Linked DNA regions of Drosophila melanogaster. The protein of the gene in region 1 interacts with the protein of each later gene in a pairwise test. Each region holds a gene or a part of one and is shown in the gene's direction. Other genes may lie near its edges.

The links. The genes of interacting proteins can lie anywhere in the genome.
Region 2: the proteins of Uro (region 1) and Cpr56F interact in a two-hybrid assay, tested with the Drosophila melanogaster proteins (one large-scale study listed by BioGRID).

The regions. Positions count from the first base shown.
Region 1 is NT_033779.5:7,774,569-7,781,915, forward strand, and holds Uro (urate oxidase), read left to right. Parts: upstream 1-5,516; 5' UTR 5,517-5,549; coding exon 5,550-6,123; intron 6,124-6,192; coding exon 6,193-6,677; 3' UTR 6,678-6,847; downstream 6,848-7,347. Other genes in the region: CG7179 (uncharacterized protein), read right to left, coding at 1,327-3,417; CG7164 (uncharacterized protein), read left to right, coding at 7,067-7,283, 7,344-7,347. UniProt on the Drosophila melanogaster protein: Catalyzes the oxidation of uric acid to 5-hydroxyisourate, which is further processed to form (S)-allantoin.
Region 2 is NT_033778.4:20,286,512-20,296,441, reverse strand, and holds Cpr56F (cuticular protein 56F), read left to right. Parts: upstream 1-4,496; 5' UTR 4,497-4,608; coding exon 4,609-4,614; intron 4,615-5,891; exon of another isoform or gene 5,892-6,009; coding exon of another isoform or gene 6,010-6,118; intron 6,119-6,212; coding exon of another isoform or gene 6,213-6,763; exon of another isoform or gene 6,764-6,897; intron 6,898-6,930; coding exon 6,931-7,578; 3' UTR 7,579-8,071; downstream 8,072-9,930. Other genes in the region: CkIIbeta2 (casein kinase II beta2 subunit), read right to left, coding at 6,010-6,118, 6,213-6,763; CG34199 (uncharacterized protein), read right to left, coding at 8,180-8,746, 8,804-8,815; CG16868 (uncharacterized protein), read left to right, coding at 9,708-9,930.

The DNA.
Region 1 (7,347 bases):
ACTTAACCCGTCTAAAAGAGCTAAACGAGCTGAACTAAAAATACTTCGTTATCTCACTAGGGCTAGAGACCCTTGTAAGCCTCCCCTAATTCCAATTGTAGACAATTAAAACTTTTATAACTCTCAATGTCTTGTATATACTAACGAAATAAACAAAGTTATAGTAGCTCGCTCCCTTTTGTTAATTTCATTGTGGTCGTCGCGTGTGCTAATCCAAACAATTCCAAAACGTTGCCATATCACTCTAAAGTCTCGTAACGTCTTCTCGGTCCATTACACTATTATTATAATGAGATAAATGGATCCACAATCCCCAACGCTAAATCAGTGTGTATATACGAGAATATTGAAAATGTGTGTATTAATATATAAATGTGTACGTGTTAACTACTTACTAACTGAAACTATCTTTAATGTAAAGTCGAGAAGTATATATATATATTTCAAATAAACTTATGAAATACTATTATTCGTATGCAATTAAATGGTGATAAGGCGTTTTCAATTGACGTTAAGGGTTCGATTAAGCATTTCCTAGCATATCATCATGTATCATTGATACTATACTCTTAAAATAATAATAAAAACTCGAAATTTTAAGAGTTAATCTACTTTTCTACTACATTTTGAAATGTTTATGTACAATTGGAGGATGGAACTATTTCTTTGGTGTAATTAGTGCTAGTAAATTGAACAGATCTTCAATAGTTTCTCACTTCCACAACAACTCCGACTCATTGTTTAAACCAAATAAGTACCGCGATTGTAAATGGAACCAACTAACACATCTGCGGAAGTGCGAAAGTGCCACCCTGACATTGAGATTGAATGGGGCCGAGATTCTCGGCCAACTATTGCTCAGTGTTTGCTGAGAAAACAATGTGGCGACATGGTTATCTATTTGGAAAGCATCTGTATCTGTGGATGACAACGGCGTGGGGATTGCGATACGGAGTGGATAGAGGTAAGGGTGGAGCTGCTGGAGCTCGTGCCTTAGCGCAGTAATGACCAACGAGCGTGTAAGCCTCCAGTGGGATGACTAAGCGTAGTGAAAAGACGCATTCCTTATCACATTTTCTTTATACATTCACTATGACGTTAACAAAATTGGTGAAATACGGATGCCGCGGGTTAGGATCGCAGATTAATGCTGAGTAAATTTGGAGTCATTGTCATGAAACGAAAAAATATTATATTAAATACATTCCTTACCAAAAATACATAAAATAGCATTTAGAATTCCCTAGTATTTTTATTAGCTCTTCAATCTTTTACATAATTAAAACATTTGTAGCTATAGTTAGTTGCCCAGCTTGTAATATACCTTCAGCCAAAAATGTTTGGGAACCAACTTCTTAGCGGCGAAAAGCACAAGGGTTTAGTTAACCAGAGAGTGTCGACTGAAAGTTTAAGTACCTCCATGTAATCAAAGGAGCAACTGCTTTGCTCAAAGGCCTTCGTAACCAGAGGTGACTCTGGCTTAACTATGGATTGGGACGAAGACTGTGGCTGAGTTGTGACGCCCAGGTGAGCCTTATCCTCATCCTCATCGTCCACAGCAGAACGGGCAAAGGCCTCGTCGCCGTCGAAGTAATAGAACTCCTTGCGAGTGGAGTTAGTTTCCACCACTCTCGATGGCTGTTGAGCATCGATGCCCCGGGCATAGGATATCCTTCTCGCCGTTCGGTAGGGAGTGGCCGAAAAGGGTAGGGGATATCCACTGATATAGCCAGGATAACCAGGTTGTAGCGGCCACATTTGTGCGGTTTGCGGGGGTAATCCCAACTGAGGTTGCAAGCCCAACTGAGGTTGCAAGCCCAACTGAGGCTGTAACCCCTGTGGCCACAAACCCAATCCCCTTTGAGGTTGCTGCGGTTGCAAGCCCAAACCAAATCCTTGGCCAGCATCTTGACGACAGCCATCGGAGTCCTGATCCTGGAATATCTCCAGCAGAAAGCCATTGGACGTGGTGCTGCTCGATTGTCCAATGCGCATGCGCAGCGCCTTGCGACCCTGATCCCAATGCGATTTGTGGACATAGCCGGAACGACAGCCGCAATAGCGCTGACCATCCAGCTCCAGAAAGTCACCATTGCAATTATGTTGGCCTCCAAAACCGCCACTATGTCCGCCGCCCAATCCACCGGACACTCCACCACCGAATCCGTCACCAAAGCTGCCTCCAATTGAACCTCCTGAATTCTGACCGAAATCAAAGAACTTGAACTGAATCCGCAGTCGACAGACATTTGGTGAGCTCTTCTCGATGTAAAATACGCAATCCCTCTGCTGATTGGGTAGCAGATAGTTCAAGACTGTCCTTGGAAATCCGGGACTGGAGAGATAGAAGTGATTCTGATTGAAGCTGCTGGCACAGCAGAGATCCAACTGACCACCAAACTGCTGCAAGGTCTGGGCATCGTAATCCTTGAGAGTAACAGCATGTGGCTGAAAGGATGTGGTCTGATATTGATCGGAAATCAGGGGCAACTCTTGCTGCAGTTGCTGCTGCTGCTGGGAAAGTTGAAGTTGCTGTGGATGTTGAACTTGTACTTGTTGTTGCAGCTGCTGCTGCTGCAGGACCTGCTGTTGCAGTCGCTGTTGCTGCAGGATCTGCAGTTGTAATTGCTGTTGCTGCAGGAATCGGTGCTGCTCCTGCTGCTGCTGCAACAGTTGCTGCTGCTGGGGAGCACATGGCGGTGTGTACTGGGGTGGTAATCCCGCAGGCGGTGGGTATAATCCACCGGGATAACCAAGACCTGGTTGTAAGCCCAAATTAAACCCCAACCGATTTGGTTGCGTATAGTTGAAAGCTGGCTCCAGTTGCGGCTGATGGCTTTGCTGTGGCAGGTGATGATGGTGATGCTGGGTGAGCAGCTTCTTCGGAGGCGACTTGGCGCTCACCTGCACCGTGTCGCCATCTACGTCCTCCTCGTCATCGTCCAGACCCCTGGCCACCAAGTCCTCCCTTTCGCAGGCCAAACGCGTGATGAGCAAACGGAAGCCACCGTTGGTTGTCCAAGGCGAATCATCGCTAAGGAAGCGCAGACGCAGGACTCCATCGGGGGTGTGATACTTTTTGATACCCAGCACCTGACCGCACAAGACCTCCATGTCGTCGCCATCGTTGTTCAGGCCAATGGCCAAGTAATCCCGACTGCAGTTCTCCGATAGCTCCAGCTTGAAGTCCAAGAACTGTATGTGAAACTTGGTGGGGCAGCGGTAGGGAGATCGCACCACATAATCCCAGCAGGTGTTCACCGGATAGTTGTCCGGATAGTTGGGCGATTCGACGAGACTCTGTCGCTGCCTGTAAACACCATGTAAGCCGCACTGGGGCAGCTCATCGTGCACAGCTCCCTGGGCTTCAAATGGAATGACACTCAGTACCAAGAGAAGGACTATTGGCAGCTCCATGTCGTTGTTCGTCCGCTGGTAACGCGCTCAAAGACGCAACTAACTCGTTGCGGTTCACGAGACATCGATGTTTGCCTGCCAAAAAATAATATTTTACATGGGTGCGTCGCAGGTTTCACTGGAAAACAATTTGCACTTTTGTTTGTGGAGTCGACAACAAAAGCATTCACTTGTCTAAGACTCTCTCATTCATAACTCGCACTTTAGTTCACTGAACCGCACGCAAAACTTTGGGGCGGACAACATGTTTTCGAGGTGCCAAAAGCTTCATAAAACTACCAATCCATTAGATTAAATTCCAGGCGGTACATCTTTTGGGGATGATTCATGTGGCAGGGGTTCTCTACTCGTTTACAATCATATCATCATCTTCAAGATCATATAGTTTATCATATCAGTAGAGTACTACAATATAATGCATAAACTAAGCCAAATAACTTTATGACGCGTGCTTATGCGAAAGTAAACTTTATTATCAAATTTACTTAACCGTGAAATCAAAACCTTTATATAAACACGAATATTATTATCTTTGCTAAATAAAACTCTCGCTTAACAAACAATGACACTTCAATTCCAACATAGAGTTTATCTTAAGCCAATAACCAAAAACGGAACTTACATAACTTGCCAACAAACATATGAATATAGCTATTTCGGATCGTGGGAGACCATTATGCATACAAGGCACGCTCCTAAAAACCGTGTTAAACAAATATATGTCAAATGTATATCTTAAAAAAGCGCGCACATATCTTTTGAAATATCTTCACCCAGAGTATGTATGAGATTAAACTGGATTAGCACTAAGCCACAGCTTCTGTAGATAGAAATTTTATGCAGAGAGTAGATTATTTGGCTGCTGAGCAATTTGACCACCACAAGATAGCAGAGAACATCTGACATTTTCTATATCCATATAATAAAACTGACTTAACACTAAGCTGAAGTGGTATGTTTAAATCCTCCAGCTAATAAATCGAGACTAAACGCCCTATCTTATAGTGATATATAATAGTATCTATATGTGTATTGTCATTTACTGTTTATGAGTATTTGAAAAAACCATTCTATATTTTATAGGTTAGTTAATAAATATTTTGATATACATATGTAGATTGGCTCACACGTACTTATGACCCACTACATAATAAAATTGTTTTGTTTTTTAATAGAATAATGGTTTATAAAAAGTTTAGACTCACACGGAAATGATAAACTCTTTGCAAATACAGCTTTCATTTTATTACAAATTGCACTCTTTCAGATCTGCAGTTGCTATGCCAACCTTTTATTCCCTTTACTAAAAGGGTATACTAGGCTTACTGAACAGTATGTAACTGGTAAAGTAAAGCGTTTCCGATTCTATAAATTATATATCTAAACTTTTGATCAGTCGAATCCATCTGAACACATTCTGTCACATTAGATTATTCCAGAAACTCAACTTAAACATGTGTATTTTTTAAGACCATTATCAAGGATATTAAAAATGGTCTCCTAAAATTTAATAAACAAAAGTGTCACATCAAATTTAAGACGTAAATTAATATTTTTTTTCTATGGTGAAATAATTGTTATTTTCCAATGTTGTGAAATAATAAATGTATCTTTTCAACGCACACATTTTCAAGGTTTTAATAATAATAGTGACTCGTGCGTGAATAAGAGAGAAATTAAGATTTTAAAAAAGAATAAAATTCAGAGATGTGATCTGTAAAAATTATTTACCAATTTTCATTTACCCCCGAAAGTGATGCTAATGGTTAAAACGGCATTTGCGACTTATCTCCTACGTAATATTGCAAAAATAAGGATTTGGTTAGATGAGTGTGAAGTAAACAAGATGCAAAGTTTTGGAGATAGAAAACATAGCCTTGAGTCTTGGTCATGTTTACTTGGCACCAGGCCGCGATTATCAGCGCTACTAGTCGTAATTTGAGTTAGACCTTTAATACTCTAAGTGAGAGTGATGATATACGATTTCCCAGCCACTTGCTTTCTACGAAATGCGCTAAAAAAAATCCCTAACTACACAAAGATTTGTGTTGTTATCCAGGTGTTCTGATATAAAAGGCGGCAAGGAAATTGATGGCATCATCAGTATCAAAGTGAGAGTGATTGCAGTCACAATGTTTGCCACGCCCCTCAGACAGCCAGCTGCGGCTAACCACCAGACCCCAAAGAATTCCGCCGGCATGGATGAGCATGGTAAGCCGTATCAGTACGAGATTACCGATCACGGATACGGCAAGGATGCGGTCAAGGTGCTGCATGTCAGCCGCAACGGACCCGTGCACGCCATCCAGGAATTCGAGGTGGGCACTCACCTGAAGTTGTACAGCAAAAAGGATTACTACCAGGGCAACAACTCGGACATCGTGGCCACCGATTCGCAGAAGAACACCGTCTATTTGCTGGCGAAAAAGCATGGCATTGAAAGTCCCGAGAAGTTTGCTCTGCTCCTGGCCAGGCACTTTATTAACAAATACTCGCACGTGGAGGAGGCGCACGTTCATGTGGAGGCGTATCCCTGGCAGCGAGTTTGCCAGGAGGAGACCAGGACCAACGTCAATGGGAAGTGCGAGAACGGAGTCCAAGGGAACTGCGACTTCAGCTCCATTGACAACAGATCACTGCACAATCACGCTTTTATATTCACGCCCACCGCTCTTCACTACTGCGATGTGGTTATAAGGAGAACAGGTTAAGTCAAACATAACTAAAGCAATAATATTTAAAACTACTAAATTATCACCTCCTTTACTGTTTTAGATCCCAAACAAACGGTCATCACGGGCATCAAGGGTCTCCGGGTGCTGAAGACGACCCAATCCTCGTTCGTGAACTTCGTGAACGATGAGTTCAGATCTCTGCCAGATCAGTATGATCGCATCTTTAGCACCGTGGTGGATTGCTCCTGGGAGTACTCCGATACCGAGAACTTGGACTTCCTCAGGGCCTGGCAAACGGTCAAAAACATAATCATTCGTAACTTTGCTGGCGATCCGCAGGTGGGCGTGTCCTCGCCCTCCGTTCAGCACACCCTGTATCTGAGTGAAAGACAGGTCCTGGATGTCCTGCCGCAGGTGTCGGTCATTTCGATGACCATGCCAAACAAGCACTACTTCAACTTCGATACGAAGCCCTTCCAGAAGATTGCACCCGGCGACAACAATGAAGTTTTCATCCCAGTGGACAAGCCACATGGCACCATCTATGCCCAATTGGCCCGGAAGAACATCAATAGTCACCTGTAGATCGATCTCTGATGTAGTAAATCTAAATCAATCTAAATCAATTTAGCCAATTCATAATTGCATGCGGCGAAGTTATATATGTATTTTAAATTATTTAAGCAAACGAATCATATGCTGCGTTCTTCTTATTTAAACAATAATAAACTAATAAAAAATAAAGTGTAAAAATGAATAAATCGATTGCAAAACCATATTTCGAGATCACCCTTGCCTTGGCTGAATAAATCCAAATTATATCAGAACTATTTTCTAAAATCCTAAAATGAGGCATCGTTCATAAAAAAAAATATATAAAATAAATTCCACAATTTTCGACCACTTTGGCAGTCAAAATTCGCAATCTAAATTCGAAATTAGCAAATAACCATTTAGCCACAAACAGCGTGACCATGACCAATCGACTGGCCTTGCACCACATCCTGACCACCCAGCTGCGAAGGGACTGGGAACAGGAGGAGAGCGCCAAGACCAGGCTGTCGCAGCTGTCCAGGAGGGACAGGATCAAGGCCTCGCTAAGATCGAGTCAGTTGCCAGGACGTTACCTGTTGCCCGACACCAGAAAGACCTACGACAATATGGTGGCCAATATTCACTCGACCATGAAGTGTAAGCTGTTGTGCTAAAAACTAACCAGAAACTTTCAAAACCAATCAATCATTTACTTAGCGGT
Region 2 (9,930 bases), on another chromosome or scaffold:
ACCCAAACTTAGGGTTCAATTGAGATGAATTACACCCGAGATCAAATTTGCTGGCTCGTTCCAGCGTGTCAGAGTTTCAATGTCAATGCTGCGAGCTAAGGATGAGGTTCAGTGTCATGGATAGATGTAGATACTCAGATGTAGATGGTGTAGAGATACACATAGTTGGCCCAACCTTATCTTTGCGGATCTCACAGAGTTCGCTGGGAAGGCGGAAGTTGGATCAAAGTGCTTATCGATATGGCAACGTGCGAGAATAGCAAGCATGTTTGCCCATTGTGTATTAAAAGGTGTGCTGATTCACTTTTGGAATCCGAATCCGAGAGCACATGCTCATCATCGAGGTGCTGATGTGCCGATGTGCTGATGTGGATGTGGGTAGGCCCGCAGAAAGTGCCAATCAAATGGCCCGTGCCCCCATCCCCGACGAACAGCAAACAGAAACAGGTTGACCCCCACGCAAGAGGATGTAGTCGGAGCTCAAGTTCTTACAAGTGGCGTCGAGTTGATCCACACGTAGCTCCACACTTGGCCAGCGGATTAGCCGCGAACTCCGGCACATTATCGCTGTGCAATCTGCGGCATTCCATGGCCAGAGACAATGGACCATTCATCCGATGACCTGTGGGGCAAACCTCAAACGTGGCACGCATTCATCGAGGGTTCTTCAATTGATTTCGGCCATCTAATGTGGCTCAAACCAAATCCGGAATTGTGTAACAATGACTAAAGTGCGCTGCACGCCAGTCCCAAACAAAAGGCAAATTTTTCGGTAGCTGCAACACCATCATTATTGTTGCCTTGACTGGCAGTGGGAACCATCTTTATGACCGCTGGGGCCGTAAATAAATCACAGGACCCATGCTCCCATCGCCCACAAAATGCAATGTTTAGTCACAAGCTTTTATTTGCTTTGGTTACGTGTGCGTACACATGAAAATATATAAAAAACCGACATAAAATCATGACGTTCATTTGTAAAATTTATTGACTATAATTATAAATGAATTCAGTGTTTCATTCTGAGGAAGACACCAATTTCGTTGGCTCATAATGTTTAAAAGTTATCCAGTTAAATTACAGAATCAAAAGCCATGTTCTTTGTCTAAACTTTACGTATTTACTTTTTGAGAACATCGATTTTTTTTTCGGAGTGTATAGGCCGACATCAATCATTATTCCCCTGCCTGCGCCCGAATTTAGCCGCATATGAATGCCCGTGCCACAGCTCGCAGACCAGCTCCTTCTGCCCCACCGTTCTGTTTCAAGTTTAATTGCTTCGCATACGTTTTAATTATGCCGAGTAGTAGTGAGATCCAAAAGCCCAGAGCTGCGAGAGTTGGGCTCCACTGAATGGTGCTGCACTAGCAGCAACTAATTTGGCAATTTGGCCAACTGCACAAGGCGACCTGTGTGTTAGTGTAATTACTTTATGGAGTATGGAGTGCACTGTGAATGCGTCTTTTATGACAGCCATTGAGTTGCAGAGCGATCGAGATCGGGTCCATCGCTCAAATGCCATAGGTGAGTGGAGCCACGGAGGATGAGCGCCAAAGATTCCCAGGTGCGACCTTCGCGTGCCTTCGCCTCTTGACGGAATGTTATCAATAACTGACGACATGATTTTCGAAGTTGTTAATTAAGACGTTAAACGAAAATAGGTGTTTAAACGACAATATTATAGATTTATTTCATGGCCTTTTTTAAGCAGATTTGCTTTCTCAATTTATTAAATAAAAGGTAAGCTTTCTTTATAAATAGGTTCTCGGAAGAATCTGTTGTTGAGACCCCCAATTTCCTTATAGTCATCCGTATCATAATTCATCCACACCCAGCTTACTCACATCCACTTCAGTTCACTTTAGAGCGGTTCCAAAATGTCAAAGTTTGGCAATTTTGTGTGTGAGTCAATCGACTTTTACTCCGGATTCTGGCAAAAGGCAGCGACCTTCGCGTCGGGCGAAAAATGCAGTCGGTGTGCGAAGAAGTCGGAGCCACGGAGATCTCGAATCCAAAATCGCTCTCGAAATATCATCATCTAGAGTGGCACGGCATATTCAAAGTGAGGCGCAATTTACATCAAAAGACGCCTTAATTGATTCTGTCCGTCTTGGGGGGGCATTGCATCAGAAATTATCGTAGTTTAATTTAAATTACACGTTCGCGGCGCTCCACTCGTCAGCATTCTAGGTTACAAAGCAAACATAGATTCGGATCTGCAGATACAGATACGGATACATGTATGTATTTCAAGGTCCGCCCCTCTCGAAGCTCTAGAGCAGCCATCAGAAATTACAAATCGTCATTGTCTTCGACTTGGCGCATCATCACCTGGCTGGGTGCCATTAGCTTCCTCTCCATCTCGATCTCCATCTCCATGTACAACTCCAAGTCCAAAACTCCGTCTAGATGGCCTCTCTGTCTGGCACGTTCAATGTAAATTAGCCGATGCAGGAAATTAAATGATTTTTTAATGTGCTGGAAAAATGATTACAAACGTAAAAAAAAAAACAAGCAGAAGACTGAAGCTGAAAACTGAAAACCGAAAACAGATTTGAAGTCGTTCATGGAGTGCTATTGAAAATGAATTTCAGTTTTGGTTTCCGAGACAAGGAATGCGGCATACGAAGGTTTATTTATTTAATTGTTTTGCTTACATTTCAAGATTCATATTAGCCATTATGAAGTCAAGTCTTAACTGCTCTGCTATAATTTCTGTTTGTTTATTTGAATTTTTCGCATTCGCATATTTGCACACATAACTCCAAATGATCTTGGTAATTACAAAAGCTTGGCTGTATATTCTCTAATTTATTTTTATTGTGGTCTGTGGCAAGGTCGAGTATTACTTGCAGAAAATCACTTGGGGGAATACGCAGCGAGGAAGCAATTCCATCCCACCCCATCCCTTCAATCCCTTCAATACCTCATTAATTTCCAGCTCATTTGGGGCGTGGCTTCGCACGGCCTTTAAATTTACAACTCATAAACTTGGCATTATCGAATGTGAAAGTCAGCTCGTGCCAAATCGCAAAATAAGCAGGGTCCGTTATAACAAAATGATAAAAATTTTAATTTGCTACGCATTCGACCAATGAGCCAAAAGACAATTGACCAAAGAAATATTTGCAGATCGTGATGGATGCTACGCCCACTGTTTAAATGAACATGGAATATGGCAATAAAAATATTGAATTACTTTTCCCTATTGTCAAGTATTGTGTTCGAGTATTTTTAAAGAGTTCAAGTTTCCTTTGTTATGCAATCGACTTTTTAATGGGATAAATAAGTATCCAAAACTATTGAGCATACACATTTCAATACGTTTTGCAGGAAATGGACAAATAGAAAAAAAAATTATGTTATTTTTTTTAAATATGTGTTTATTTTAAAACTTATTTCTCTCTACAAATTATTTGTTTATAAAGTAAATATATAAATAAATTGATCTCATTTAAATTGGAGCAATGTTTCACCCATAAATGAATGTTGAAGAGATCTTTAGGTAATTTTGATTCGCAAAGCAACTACAAGCCGTTACTAATGCTCAGTTTAATAACAATCAACATTTTCGACACCAGAGCGTATCTTTCCCAGCAAGGAAGATAACGTATCTTAAAACTCTTTTTCCCTCGCTGTGCTCACAGCTCAATTGCAGCTTATCCGACTTGAATCCATGTCAACGCCAATCCAAACGGACACATTTGTGAAGTCGGGGGCATAATCCAGCTCATTAGTTGTGCTGAAAAACAAAACCGAGCAAAACCCAGCGAAAACTCCCACGCACTAAGGGGAAACAATTTGCAGCAGCATTGCCTGCAGCAAGTTCGTTGCCTGAGTCTTTTGTTTCTGCTTCGCCTTTCGAGGCGGCCGCCGCTGAAGCTGCCGCACGACTGAAGCTGAAGCCTCCGATGCGAGATGAAGATGCGTGGAGCAGCTGCCTCCGCTCACTTGGCTTTTGGACGCTACCGTCGACGTCGCTGCCCGCTGCCTGCTGCATGACTAATTCCATTACAAATAAGTGTTTCTGCTATTACACGAGCGGCAACAAATGTTTATGGCCTGCAGCCGCAGGAGCGCGGTACTCCCTCGTCTCATTTGTTTGAATGTTTGGCACTCATCTTCGCTCATTTGCCGAACCCGACCGCAGATACGAAGTCAGCATCGTCAAAATGTTTGGCGCTTTAATTTCCAAAGTAACTAGTTTACTATAACAAATCCACCTCAAGCGATTTCCCTCTTTTCTCGGCAGCACCACCGAGAGCGATTTGCTCTTCCTCAGCTCCGTGTGCTTTGCATTATTTTGTAATGTTTTTCAAGTGCTCGTTCGGCACTGTGGCACTCATTTTTTTCTCGACTAACCGAAAATTGAAATAACGAACTAAGCTGAACAAAAAACACACACATTTTGGCGCGCAATTTTTTGAAGCCGACGTCGACGCCGCCGCGTTAGCTGCTGCTCATTTCAAATATAAATACTGGCCTACGAAATTGTTTCAGTATCACAATCAAGTCAACCATCTTCGCAAGAAGAACACAGCCAACAGAGCAAAGTTAACAAAAACCGTTTTCGTGTGTGCCAAAATCCCAAACAAGTGACAACACAAAATGAAGGTATATAGCCGAATAGAACTTTCGAGTCAAGTGCCAAGTGGTGTGCTGTGTGAAAAAAAAAAGTCCTCACAAAAGGATATGGGCAGCCAAAACGAAATACAATGCCTCATTCGGCATTCGGGAAACGATATGACTAAAGGATATAAAACTTGAATAGCTATAAAGATCATTCAATATAGGTCCTTTATTAGATACAGTTTCGACCTTTTGTTAAATTTTCAAAGGATATTGAAGTTTGCTGTAGCTAACATACAAACAACGTTGGGTTACAAAATCTTAGAATGATCAAATAAACATCACAATATTTGCCCATATCTTTTTCTGCATTGCAAAGGTGCTAAAATATGTTCGAATTTTGTATTCATTTTTCTGTATCCAATCAATAGCCCTCATTTAAAATCGTTTTTGGCAATAGATCGATCAATCAATTAAACAACTCATCAAACTAATGAAGCTTTCATTGTCTCACATAGCACTTAATCAGCTAATCGGAAGGAAAAGACATGAAATATTAATATTTGAGCCATATTAAAAGTCAAGTTCAGCTGGGTGATTAATCAAGCGGAGATCCGCATAATAAATTTCATAAGTTGCCATCATCATCGCAGTTAAGATTACCATCAATTTGTTTAGGATAGCTACTGTTTTTTATGGTAGGTTGCGGAATTAGAACACCGATATCATTCGCCTGGGAAACAATTGCAACCAGCGATCCCAGTTCATTTCTAGGGTGTGGGTAACAAACAGAAGCAACAACAGCTGCCGCTGCTTGGGGTCATTTTGCAATGAATAAATTAGAGAAACTTTAAGTGGCGGAAGAAGAACTACTGGACATGCCCAAGTAAGGCAGTCTGGAGATGACCAGGCGGCGATAAAAAAAAAATACAGACAAAAGCGCAGCCAAAAAGCATAGCATTTTAACGCCAATGAAGCATGAAAGTCATTGACGGCCCTGTGCCTAAACACTCGGCCAGAAGATCTTTTGCACAAGATTCGGAAATAAGTTGTGTAAGAGTGAGCCGAAGTGGTTCTCCCACAGGTTGTCCGCGCCACACGGCGAATACTTAAGATTCAGACGCATTGCGCAAGATCACGAGATTAGCCCTTCACTTGCAGCCCAGCTAAATCCAATCCAATCCGATGGGAGCTTCACCTGGGACCCAATTACTACAGATTTGCATATGCCTCAGCTAAATGCTGTAAAGATGGGAAAGACAAAGCCAATTCTGGGCCTGCTCGCAGGCCATCAAATCCAAACAAAAGATTGTCAAGCGGGTCACAGCCTGAGCAGTTATTGTTATGAGAGTTTAATGAGCTGGCAGCCAGCCGGGCGAACAGTGCCCACTTATTCGAGAAGTACGCGACAGTTGCTTATGAGAAATTTTAGCTTTAGGATCAAATGTGGGATGGGCTATCGATTTCTCCTACTGGCGTCATTGTCACATCTTTTTGGATCTCAGCGGCAGTACGGTAGGCCGTGGGGTGGATTTTAAAGCCATAAAGCCTGGGAAAACATAGTTACATTAGTTATACATTATTAGTAACTACCTTAAAAACATAGGGAAATAGAAGGAAACACAGGAAACGGAAGATCTAACCTGGGCACAAACTTCTGCTTTGCCCGCTTGGGCCTAGCATCCGGTTTCTCCATAAAGAACATATGAGGGAATCCAGTGCCAAAGAAGGCTCCATCCAGATTCGAATGTCTCGACGCCTTGGGAATGTACACATCATTGCACTTGGGGCAATAGATGCGTACCATATCCTCGCCAGGATTATCACTCAAACCAATGGGCAGCACCGGCTGGCTATGGCAGAATGCACGTGGACATGTGCCGAATTCGCCCTTGTTGTACTTGTCCAACATCAGTTCGATGCCCCTGTTGGTTAGGATAAAGCGAGCATGGATCAAGCCATACAGTTTCTCTGCACTAGCCTCCAGTTCTGGTTCAGCGGGGTCTTCCGAAGCTGAACCCGGATTAAGATCCAGGATCACCTCCAAGGCACATTTGTAGTTCTTAACGTTCGAATCAAGAAAGTTAAGGTTAAACTTGTCCTGGATATATTCCTCATCCACCTCGCAAAAGAATTCGTTGCCACGCTGCTTGCAAAACCAATGAATCCAGGAAGATTCGTCCGAATCGGTCATAGCTGCTTCTTTTAAGCTTTAATTTAATCAGTCAAAATCACGAGAGCTTAACAATAGGACTTATTTAATTTCGAATGACAGCTGTCAGGGACGGAGTGTTCAATCAAGGGTTGTCAACTCAAAACGAAAACTGTAATGTAAATGCAACCCTGAATTTTCATTCCCAGGCTTTTACATCCATTGCCCTGCTCGTGTGCCTGGCTGCCTGGACCCATGCGGAACCACCAGTTCCCCAGAACCAGTACCTGCCCCCCAATCAGTCGCCTCAGGCGCCGTCCAACAACTACCTGCCGCCCACGCAGGGCTACCAGTCGCCGTCGAGCAACTACTTGCCACCCCAGCGGGCCGGTGGCAATGGAGGAGCGCCCAGCAACAGCTATGGCGCCCCCATCGCTCCTCCCCAGGGTCAATATGGTGCTCCAGCGCTGACTGGTGCCATCTTCAAGGGCGGAAACGGAAACGGAAACGGCGGCTATGGCGGCGGTAATGGCAACGGCAACGGCTACGGACAACGGGATGAGGAGCAGTATGGACCGGCCAAGTACGAGTTCAAGTACGACGTACAGGACTACGAGTCGGGCAATGACTTCGGCCACATGGAGTCCCGCGATGGTGATCTTGCTGTGGGCCGCTACTACGTCCTGCTGCCCGATGGACGCAAACAGATTGTTGAGTACGAGGCCGACCAGAATGGATACCGCCCAACCATTCGGTACGAGCAGGTCGGCAATGGCAACGGAAACGGCAATGGCAATGGTCGCAACGGTGGCGGTTATGATAGCAACGCGCAGCAGGGCAAATTCAACGGCTACTAAGATGGGGAAGTGAGGATACCCGATTTAGGTCGACCCCGCAACTATACTCGTCTACTTCATGGGATCGCTGGCCGAGTATTAAACGCACATCCAGCCAGTGGGCCAGCGATCGCAGTCAGTCTATCCATATAACCCTATTCCCATCTCTGTGCATACCCTTAGTGGGACGCCCGCCATTTTGCCATAGACAGGCGCGTTCCTTTCCGTTTCCGTTTCACTGCTGTTCGTTATCCTGTTTTCCGTCTCTACACCTGGAACTCCTTGCCGTTTTGTTTTGTTTAAGCGCCTTCATTTTGTGTTAGTCTACGCACACACTCCAACACACCATTCACCCACAACATGACCATTACGCATTCATACATACATGCATAAGGATTGTATTTAGTTTTTAAACGAAAATGGAAATTCGAAAGTGAAACGAACTTATGAGATTTTTGTGTATATTTAATAATTATTAAATGAATAAAGAAGCATTTTTGTATAAAACAAAGTCAAAAAGAAAAACCAAACTGTTTTTATAATTAACAAGATAATTCATTCTGAGAATTGAATACATTGCACAACTCTATTTTACATATTCAAATAGCTATATCCAAATTGCCTACTTCAGGACCCGCTCCAGTTGTCCCTGTCTGTTGTATCGATACACAGGATCCTTGAGTTGCCCCACAGTGGAGTAAGTCAACTGAGCCGTAAAATCATCTGCATCTGCATCTGCGTTTTGCTGGGAGCTGAAAGAAACTCTTTGTAGTTTATTGTCCTGCGAAATGACGAAGTAACGTCCCTCTCTGATTTTGGGCTGCTGATTGTCTACGATATTTTTTGCAGTAACTGGCTCCTCATCATCAGGATAAATGATTTTAAATTTCGGATCTGCCGGACCGTACTTGTTGGACGGTCGTGAGGTGGGCAAAATCTCTTCCTCGGGTATATCCAGTTGATTTGGAGGCAAATAATTTGGCTGGGGCTTTTCCACTGGATCGAACTGGTCCACTCGTGCCTTTGTGATTTCTACTCCCTGACTTGATCGGATAGCAGGCACATACTCGTTGGGTAAGTTGAATGGAATCTGCGGATGCCAACCAGTTGGTGCATAAGGTGCTATACGTCCACCGGTAAAATCCACTTCAGCTTGTACAATGGCCACAAATGGCAGCAGTAGAAGCAACTTTAGGAATGCCAAAAAGATTTACGTAAAAATGTTTATTAAATAGCCACATCATACCTTTGTCACCATTTTAATGAACGGCTCGATTGAAACTGCGGTGCAATATTTGGGATTTGCTCATTTTTATATTAAACAATTGGAACCATTGCAATATTTATCATGCCGGACACGCACCTTGTTCGTCTGACACCAATTGGACTGCATCTGTTCCATCTTCGGACTACATAGTCACGTATCCAGCCGACAAAAATAAAAAAGAATCAAATGCACACAACCTTGACAACGGATGAGCGAATAATTGGCAAAGGCTCAACTTTGGTTTTGCTTTTAGATGCACATAAAAAGTGAAAGTGTTATAAGAGCATTAATTTGCAAAATAATTTATAGAAAATCTAACTAAGAATACATTTCAATGTAATTATTATTTATTTAAGTGCGTATGCATTTCAAGAATATTGAATAAATGCAACTTATAAAACGCTTAGCAATTTACAATTTTCGAAAATACGTTATTTCTAGGGTAACCACATTTTAACTGTAAAGTCGTATGCAGCCACACTGCTGTGTCGTGCATTTTTGTATCTTCCGCATGCTGCCCTATAATCTACGACATACGGTCACACTGCGCATGTGGAACTTTAAGAAAATCTGCAAAACATTGACAAAATTATTAAATTTAATAGCTTAATCGGACGAATAAGAGTGTATTTATGTTGATTAGTTGTTGTCTCTGAGCCAGTGGGCAATGTACACGTGCTTACTATGCCTAAAACCGAGGAATCAGCGAGATTTATGTGACGAAATTCCGTAAACAAATCAGCGTGCAGCTCGAGAAGAACCTGGTAATACAGAATTCCTTAAGAGGAAACCACTCAAGCTAACATTTCATTGTCTTCCAGATATGCGGTAAATTCAATAGTATGCCCCAGTGGCCACGGAGTCCGCCGGAACCACAAAAACCATGTGGCCCAACAGCAACCTAAACGCCGTGCTGCTCATCCTGGCAGTGCTGGCGTGCCCAACTAGCAGCCAACATGTTCCTCTGGCCATGGCCAATTCAACTAGCAACCAAGTGCCTACGGATCCTGGCTTCATGCCGCTGCAGCAGTCGCCGGGAAGCGTCTTTTTCGTGCACCACAACCAGCAGAATGCCATGCAGCTGCGACATAGCATGGAGGGCAAGC